Drosophila melanogaster: one gene and its partner. The protein of the gene in region 1 interacts with the protein of each later gene in a pairwise test. Each region holds a gene or a part of one and is shown on either strand. Other genes may lie near its edges.

Region 1 (4,329 bases):
GTTACTTGCGCTAGTGACGAATAGCGAAAGATTCTTCTATTAGACCCACTAGTTCAGTAAGAGATATCTGATAGTCGAGAAACTCGAAAATGGCACTGTTGTTTTTGAAATGTGCAAACGATAGTGTGGCAAAAGTATCGTTTGGGCGGTGATAGTGCAATCGATGAATGTGCAGCTTTAATTTAAGCTTGTGAGTCTTGGCAACTCTAGAAACACATCGATTAACGTAGCTGAAAATTGTTTTATGTTTAATTAAATACAGGCGAATAGCTCAAGATCTTTTTGGTGTTATGAGCGTTCAAAAGTCACTACCGTTTCCCACTTAATACTTTGTTAACTGTTAAGTTCGTGCAGCAGTTCCCCAATTCTTGCAGAGGAAACAAATTTACGAGTGCTTCGGTGTTGTTGGACACACACTCACTTTTCATCGGTGGAAAATCAAATTTGGGACCAGGCGCAGAAGATTCGTCAGGATGACGACCAAGCACATCTATTCCACGACCAATTTATCAGATCTGCAATTAAAGGAGCAGGGAAACTGCTTGTTTGCAGCCCGAAAATATGACGACGCAATAAATTGCTACTCAAAGGCCATCGTAGGTGTCTCACATATTTTTGTTATTGTGATGTGTATTTTGTTGTTTACATGTGCACTATGCTCCATATAATATGTAGATAAAGAACCCCACAAACGCCACATACTTCACAAACCGAGCCCTCTGCAACCTGAAACTGAAGAGATGGGAACTGTGCTGCCAGGATAGTCGGCGCGCCCTCGACATCGATGGGAATCTGTTGAAGGGTCACTTCTTCCTGGGCCAAGGACTCATGGAAATCGACAACTTTGACGAGGCTATAAAGCACCTTCAACGGGGTTAGATAATACCTGACCTTTGATGTTCTCTACACTAACTAACCATATATGAAACTTATAGCATACGATCTGTCCAAGGAGCAGAAGCAAAACTTTGGGGATGATATTACACTACAGTTGCGACTAGCTCGCAAAAAGCGCTGGAATGTTATGGAGGAGAAGCGAATACAGCAGGAAATCGAGCTGCAAAGCTATTTAAATGGGTAAGATGTTATTCGAATTCTCTAGATGCCTTTTGCAAACTAAATTTAGTCACCGCACGACGATATCGAGGCAATTGTTGTCCTCATGTGATAGAATATATATTAAAAAAAGCGAAATTTGTGCAAAACCTAAATATTTATGTTTCAGTCTAATAAAAGGGGACATGGAAAGCCGTTTGGCCAATTTAAAGCTGAATGGAAATGTACACGATGAGCAGCTGAAAGACAAGCAACAGGAAATTGAGCAAGAATGCGTAAGTTGGACTTTAACCAGAATATTTAGCGGAGTTGACAATCTAATTTTACTTTTTAGGATGACCATATTAAGGAACTTAACAATATATTTTCTAAGGTTGACGAACGTCGAAAGGTAAGAAACTAAAGGAAAAATAACCAATATTAAAAATATTGTTCTAATATTGTTATTTACATATTACAGAAACGTGAAGTTCCCGATTTTCTATGTGGCAAAATAAGTTTTGAAATATTAACAGACCCTGTGATAACTCCATCTGGAATTACGTATGAACGAAAAGATATAGAAGAACACTTGCAGCGGGTTGGACATTTCGATCCTGTGACACGCGTTAAGCTCACTCAGGATCAACTAATACCAAATTTTTCAATGAAGGAAGTGGTTGACTCTTTTATTGCCGAGAATGAATGGTCTTTAGATTATTAAGTTACTTATTAGTTGGCATTGTCATTGTAATTGATTAGATGTTAGAACCCAGTTCCCATTGTCTAAAAACCAGATAAGTGATAATAAATGTGGATCTGCAATTGAGATTTATATTGTAAATGGATAAATTGTAATTATTAATAAATTAAACAGCATAATGTTCAAAATATAAATAAAAAAGCTTTTGCACGATATCGATAGAGAGTTAGCGGTAGTGTGAAAACAATATAGTTTCGATCACCCGTTCCAGTTAGTCAAAAAGTTGGTGATATCTTGACCAAACAAATTATCGATATACAGCTGCTTACAGATTTGCAGAAATCATTTTCAAAGAAATTTGTTTATGTGAATTCACAATTGGATTAACTTCGCTCTTCTTTGTTTAGTATTTATTTAACAATAATATGGATTCGTCTGAAAGCCAATCGCAAATGGATGACCAAGATGCTCGCATACTGCGTCTGCAAAATCTGATCGAAAAGAATATTGAGATAGGTAAGTTAAATCATAAATTACTAATATCTGAAATAACTATATGAATTGCAGAGCAACAAATCGAAAACAACACCATCGGAGAGTCTATCACGGCCATAGAGGAAATCATTCAGACAGCCAACGATATCAGCAAGGGACATGAAGACCGCCGTACAAACTCCACGGAACTTGTCCTGGACACGGAGCTACTGCGTCGCAATTTCGAAGTTGTGGGAAAAGCTATCCAACATAACACCAACGTCACGGATCGAATGGTGGCCACGGCGATCGTAGGTGCACTGTGTACTTTATTTATGCCTGATCGTAATGTTTGATCCTATTACAGAACGATTTGGTTTTCAAAGAGAGCGAAGAAGATTGGGATGCTCTTTGTTCATTGGCTATTCAGTTCGGAAGACCACTCTTCACCAATGATAGCATGCTGCCCTTCATAGATGTTACTCCAAAGGTGGTGGTTCAAAAGCAACGTGCTCCTCGCAAAACGAAATCTCAAGTAAGTCATTTGTTAAACAATTTCTCACAGTAATATTTGTTCATATTATTATGGATCTTGTAGGTAGATGAGAAGCGTCCAGAAAAGAGTGACCAATTGGAACGCAAGGACGAAGGAGCAGCGTCCGTAACCCACATGCTGAAGCAAATAAGACAAATATATCGAGATGGCAATCAAGAGCCGATTCCGTACTTTAAACTGATTTGCAATCCAAACAATTTTATGGACACCGTTCAGAACGCTTTGCAACTGTCGTTTCTTGTCAAGGAGAACTATATTTCCATCGAAAATGGCGAGGATGGTTTGCCATTGGTTCGCGTTGTGAATTCCAAATCGGTCGAAGGAAACGCACCGTCCCAGGCTATTTGTTCCATCGATGTTACCTTTTGTGAGGTTCGTATTTCAATTATTGTTTAAAGCATTATAATTGATATGATTTAAATTACAGAAAATGGTAAAGCACTACAACCTACATGAGCCAATGTTAAAAAGACTTCCGGTTAGTGAGAAATAGATATATCACTTAGTTCATATTAATAGTTTATATTGTTATTAATAAAACACATAGAACGTTTAAAGTTACTCATGTACGGCATAAATAATCGGGTAATTGAAAGTGTTCTTTCCCCCAAACATTAAGTAATTAACGTAATATCAACACAAAATCATTAAATGAATTTTATTACTCAAGCAGTTACTTCATAGTTCAAACACTTCCCCCAATATTTTACTACGAATCCGCCCCTGCCATTATGTCAATTTTTATGACCGCCTACAAATTGTGAAATATGTAGAAGGGGCACTTGTGAAGTTATAGCAATATAAAATGTATGTATGTTATATTTAGGAACTAAATATTAGTTAAGTTGTTTACTTATAACTTTAACCAGTTTCGGATTATGTTCTTAATCCGTTTTTCCTGGTCTCAATGGGTGGCATACCAAGAATTAAACAAATAAATTACTTTGCAGAGTGGAATAATGAATGAATGAATGATTGGTCCATTAATTAAAAAATCACTCCTGTGCTCGAAATTAGTGCACTTTCCGTTGCACAGCGGCTTTTAATTGAATTCCGTTAACTTAATTCCACAAAGAGAAATTAAGATTAATTAAGATTTATTGCACAATGAAGCTTAGGGTTAATTGCATCTTTGCGGTCGACGGAGTTTAAAAGGCTTTCTATGGAGTATAGCCTTTTCTAAGAGATCAGTGCTTCTATTCAAACTGGATGTAGTAGATCAAGTTACTCGATGCACTATTGTCTGAGATTTTGGGGCTTTCAACTTCATGTGGGCGAAGAGAGTTGACCCAAGTGCAGGAAACTAAGCTAATGTGTAATTATATATAAAACCAAAATGAAGATTTATTGCTCCATATCAGCATAGCAACAAACGACCCAATTAATAGCCACCCAATCTTCAAAATACAAAATTAATGATGCACAAGCGCAGTTTCAATAAGTTGCCAAGTTGGGTTTGTCTTAGTAAATTCCATTGAAGAATTCTACTTCTATGAAAAACTTAGTAAATGCATTATGCTACTATGAGTTTGAGCAAAGAGAAAATAGTTTTTTTTTAACT
Region 2 (3,531 bases), on another chromosome or scaffold:
TTCTTATCAAAACGAAAGACTAATTTGAATGTTTGCAACACATTTTTTTAAAATACAACTTTAAGAATATCAAAAGATGTATTTATATTAGCGTAATTTCCATTTAATGGTGCCTTCCATTTTTCTGAATTTTAAATGTAATATTATTTATTCATTTTTCACTTTTTATTTTCATTCATATTATTTTCGCAATAAAAAACTTTTAGCTCCTTAAGATATTCGAAATGATAAATCTCAAAGAGCAAGCCACTTAAAAACAATTAATCCCGATCATATAGAGCATTAAACTCCACACATTCCTCATTCCAATATTGGCTTTCTTTTTTGTGCACACATTTTTTGTCTGCTGCCTCTTGTGATTCTGTTATTAATTTATTAATAGTTTTTGCCACCGCGGTGAGCTGCGAAACCCGTTGTCGTTACTCTATTGGCTGGTCATGGGATTTTGTTTATCATGAAAATTCTAAATGGCATGCTCATGTCATTTGCTAATTTTTAATGGCCTTTAAAAGCCAGGCTGCATAGCAAGTTTGCCGCTCACGTCGCTCAGCAAAGACCTTGACTTTCTTTTTAGTAAATGAGACATTTCTCCAACACCGTCTGGCTACAATTAGCCGGCCATAAAAAAACTTTAGGGCTGGAGTTGACAAACTCCAACGTTACAATGCGCATTTTGAAAGCAAAACTGTTTGCTTGTGTGTAGAAAGTCTAACGCTTCGCGTTGACAGTGCGTTTTGTTGACTCACTCAGCCGCCGTTTTGCGAGATTTACAATCTTGAGTAATTTCACTTGCTGGGATGCAAATTTCGGTGCTATTACAGTCACTGGTCAAGCAGAATCAATTGCAGAACGCGGCGGATATCCATTTCAGGCGGCCACAAAGGCTGTCTTTAACAATCTGAACTCCGATATTCTGCTTTTGTTCAAGCCGGAACAATGGCGAATCAATTAAAGCTTGCCGCCTGGCCAGGCAACTTTTGTCTGCCTTCCGCCTGTACATTTATCACTTATGGATCGCGCACTTTGCGCAGACGCAGGTAACTAGTTTTCACCGCAGAGATACAGCCACCGCCATCGCCACCTAAAACACACATTTCAAGGCAATAAAATATGTTTGGCCATGTAATTCTGCAGCGTCTGGAAGTGCACTTCGGCGCGTGTGTCTGCTGCGCGAAATGCATTTCCATTTCCATTTCGTTTTGTTTGACTCGGTCTCTGTTTATTTTGAGTCTCCGTGGGGAATGTTGACCGTGCATGTCATTCGCGTTTAGTTTTGAAAGTTGTTTGCTTCCTGCTGCTGCACGTCGCGTCGTTTTGGCCATTTTAATTAAAAACACATCACCTCCTGAGGCTGCTATGGCAATTTTTATGCAAAGTGCGTTACCCACTGCTTAGCTGCTCGATAAATGCTCGAATGATATTTATTTAGCAAACGTTTCGCTGCAGCGCAAATTTCATACTGATTGTTAAATGTAACAGAGGAAAAAGGCGGCAGCAAAAGGAAATCAATCAATACAAACCCACAAGAGTAGGTACTTCAGCGGCTCTTGGCCCAGTTTGTGCGTTCAAACGAGACCAATGAGTGGCCATTTGCACTTGAAAGTGCATATAATAGGCAACCAAGTGAAAAAGGATGCGAGAGAAAAGGATTGGTAAAGACCATAATAAGGGTTCGAAGATTTTATTGTCAGAGTAATGATTTTGAATTAATATAATTTGCGCGCCCATTTGGTATTTTAATACTGAAAACAGGTCTCGTTTTTTAACTCTGATCTGGCAACGCCAGGCTTGTACACTTTCAAAAGTGCGAAAAAAAACATATGTTCGCTGCATTCTTGTTGAGTTGCATTTTAAATAATCAAATAAATTTGATAAATTGGGAGCTTGTTAATCAAATTAACTCGAAATGGCTAGCACTTCTCGCGCAGCTAGGAGCCAGAATGCCATCCCCTCGCAGGAAGCGCAACAACCCGTCGATGTGGTCGACGCCAAGGTTCGCGCCATTCTAAACTACATCCTTGATCATACCGCCCAGAAGATTCCCATAAAGGACAAGGATTTGATAGCGGTGGCTGGGGACAAGAGCGAACTGAAGAAACGCCTGCCGCTGGTCACTAATCTGCTGGCCGAAACATTCGGTATAATACTAACCCCACTGGACGCGACCACCAAGACGTTCATCTGCACTGCGGAGGAGCCGGTGGCCTCCATTCACGAGCTGACGCCGGCTCAACGGCCGCAGTTCACGCTGCTGTATATTATTCTCATGTACATCTTCCTGCGCGGCAACCGCATCGAGGACTCGAAACTGTACGTTATGCTGGAGATGCTCAACATCTATCCAGACGAAGAACATGGCTACTTCGGCCCCAATCTGCGCAAACAGATCGAGGAGACGTTTGTGAAGCAACAATATCTGAAGCGGGAACGCTCACAGCTAAGTGCTTACGATGATTCCAAGACTTTCTTCCTTTGGGGACCACGTGCCAAGGCGGAGTTCACATTCGAGCAAATGGTGCAATTCGCCTCCAAGCTGCTCAATCAGCATCCCAAGGTCTTCGGCCATCACCTCTCCATGGCCCAAGAAGGAGTAAACGCGGAGTAGAATACCATTCTATGAATAATTTACTACATTTGATCTAACAAATTGAAAACCAAACAATATATATAATAATCTAAAATAGAGCCAATTTCCCATTTATCAGCAAGAAAAGAATATTACGATGATCTTTTAAAAATAGCACGTCTTTTCTATTTATCTAAAACTTAAGTTAATTTACTTAACAACGGAAGCAGAGACCCGACTCTAATACTTGGCATAGTCTGTGTCCATTATGAGCTTGCCATCCTTGTCCTTCAAACGAACGCGGCCGTTGGAGTAGCGCGTCTCTTGGCTGCCATCCGGATACACTAGCTTCACAGTGCCGTCCGGATACTCCCTTCGCTTGTTTAGTTTGGTGTGAATCTCCTTTTGGCCATTGGGCAGATTGAGAATCTTGTCACCATTCCGGAGCTGCACTAGATGGGTTCCATCCGCATAACGCCACTCCTCCAGTTTCTCCGTATCGCTGGGATCCACAATCTTAATGCTGTTGTTGGGAAAGTGAATCTCAACAGTGCCATCCTTGCGGCGATGTTCCGTCTGCCCGTTGGGAAACTCGAGTATTTCCAAGCCATCTAGGTAGGAGGTGTGCCAAGTGTTGGTCTCAGCGTAGTAATACTTCACTGTGCCTTCCCTGATGTTAGTTTCCTTGATATCCTTGTTGAAATAGAGCATGCGCAAGTTCATGCCATCGGCGCTTATCTTTTTTAGATTGCCGTTTGGGTACCAAATGTCCTTGCTCCCATCCGCATTCGTAATCTCCCGCTTAAAGTCACTGCTGGAGTTGGCAGCCGGTGGGGGGGTAGCAGCTTTCGGAGCGGTCACGGGCGGCTGAACTTCCTCCGATTCCACAGAACTACTAGAGGCGTAGCTCTCATCCAGAGCGTATGGTGTTTTCTTATTCCTGCTCAGTGAGCGACTCCGACTTC

What was found.
Region 2: the proteins of Nse4 (region 1) and MAGE interact in a two-hybrid assay, tested with the Drosophila melanogaster proteins (2 studies listed by BioGRID).

Annotation. Positions count from the first base shown.
Region 1 is NT_033779.5:10,437,366-10,441,694, forward strand, and holds Nse4 (Non-SMC element 4), read left to right. Parts: upstream 1-2,074; 5' UTR 2,075-2,163; coding exon 2,164-2,254; intron 2,255-2,305; coding exon 2,306-2,523; intron 2,524-2,579; coding exon 2,580-2,747; intron 2,748-2,810; coding exon 2,811-3,140; intron 3,141-3,195; coding exon 3,196-3,261; 3' UTR 3,262-3,682; downstream 3,683-4,329. Other genes in the region: STUB1 (STIP1 homology and U-box containing protein 1), read left to right, coding at 474-596, 676-874, 936-1,077, 1,226-1,331, 1,391-1,447, 1,517-1,759.
Region 2 is NT_033777.3:7,153,440-7,156,970, reverse strand, and holds MAGE (MAGE), read left to right. Parts: upstream 1-1,790; 5' UTR 1,791-1,906; coding exon 1,907-2,605; 3' UTR 2,606-2,733; downstream 2,734-3,531. Other genes in the region: Sas-4 (spindle assembly abnormal 4), read right to left, coding at 2,807-3,531.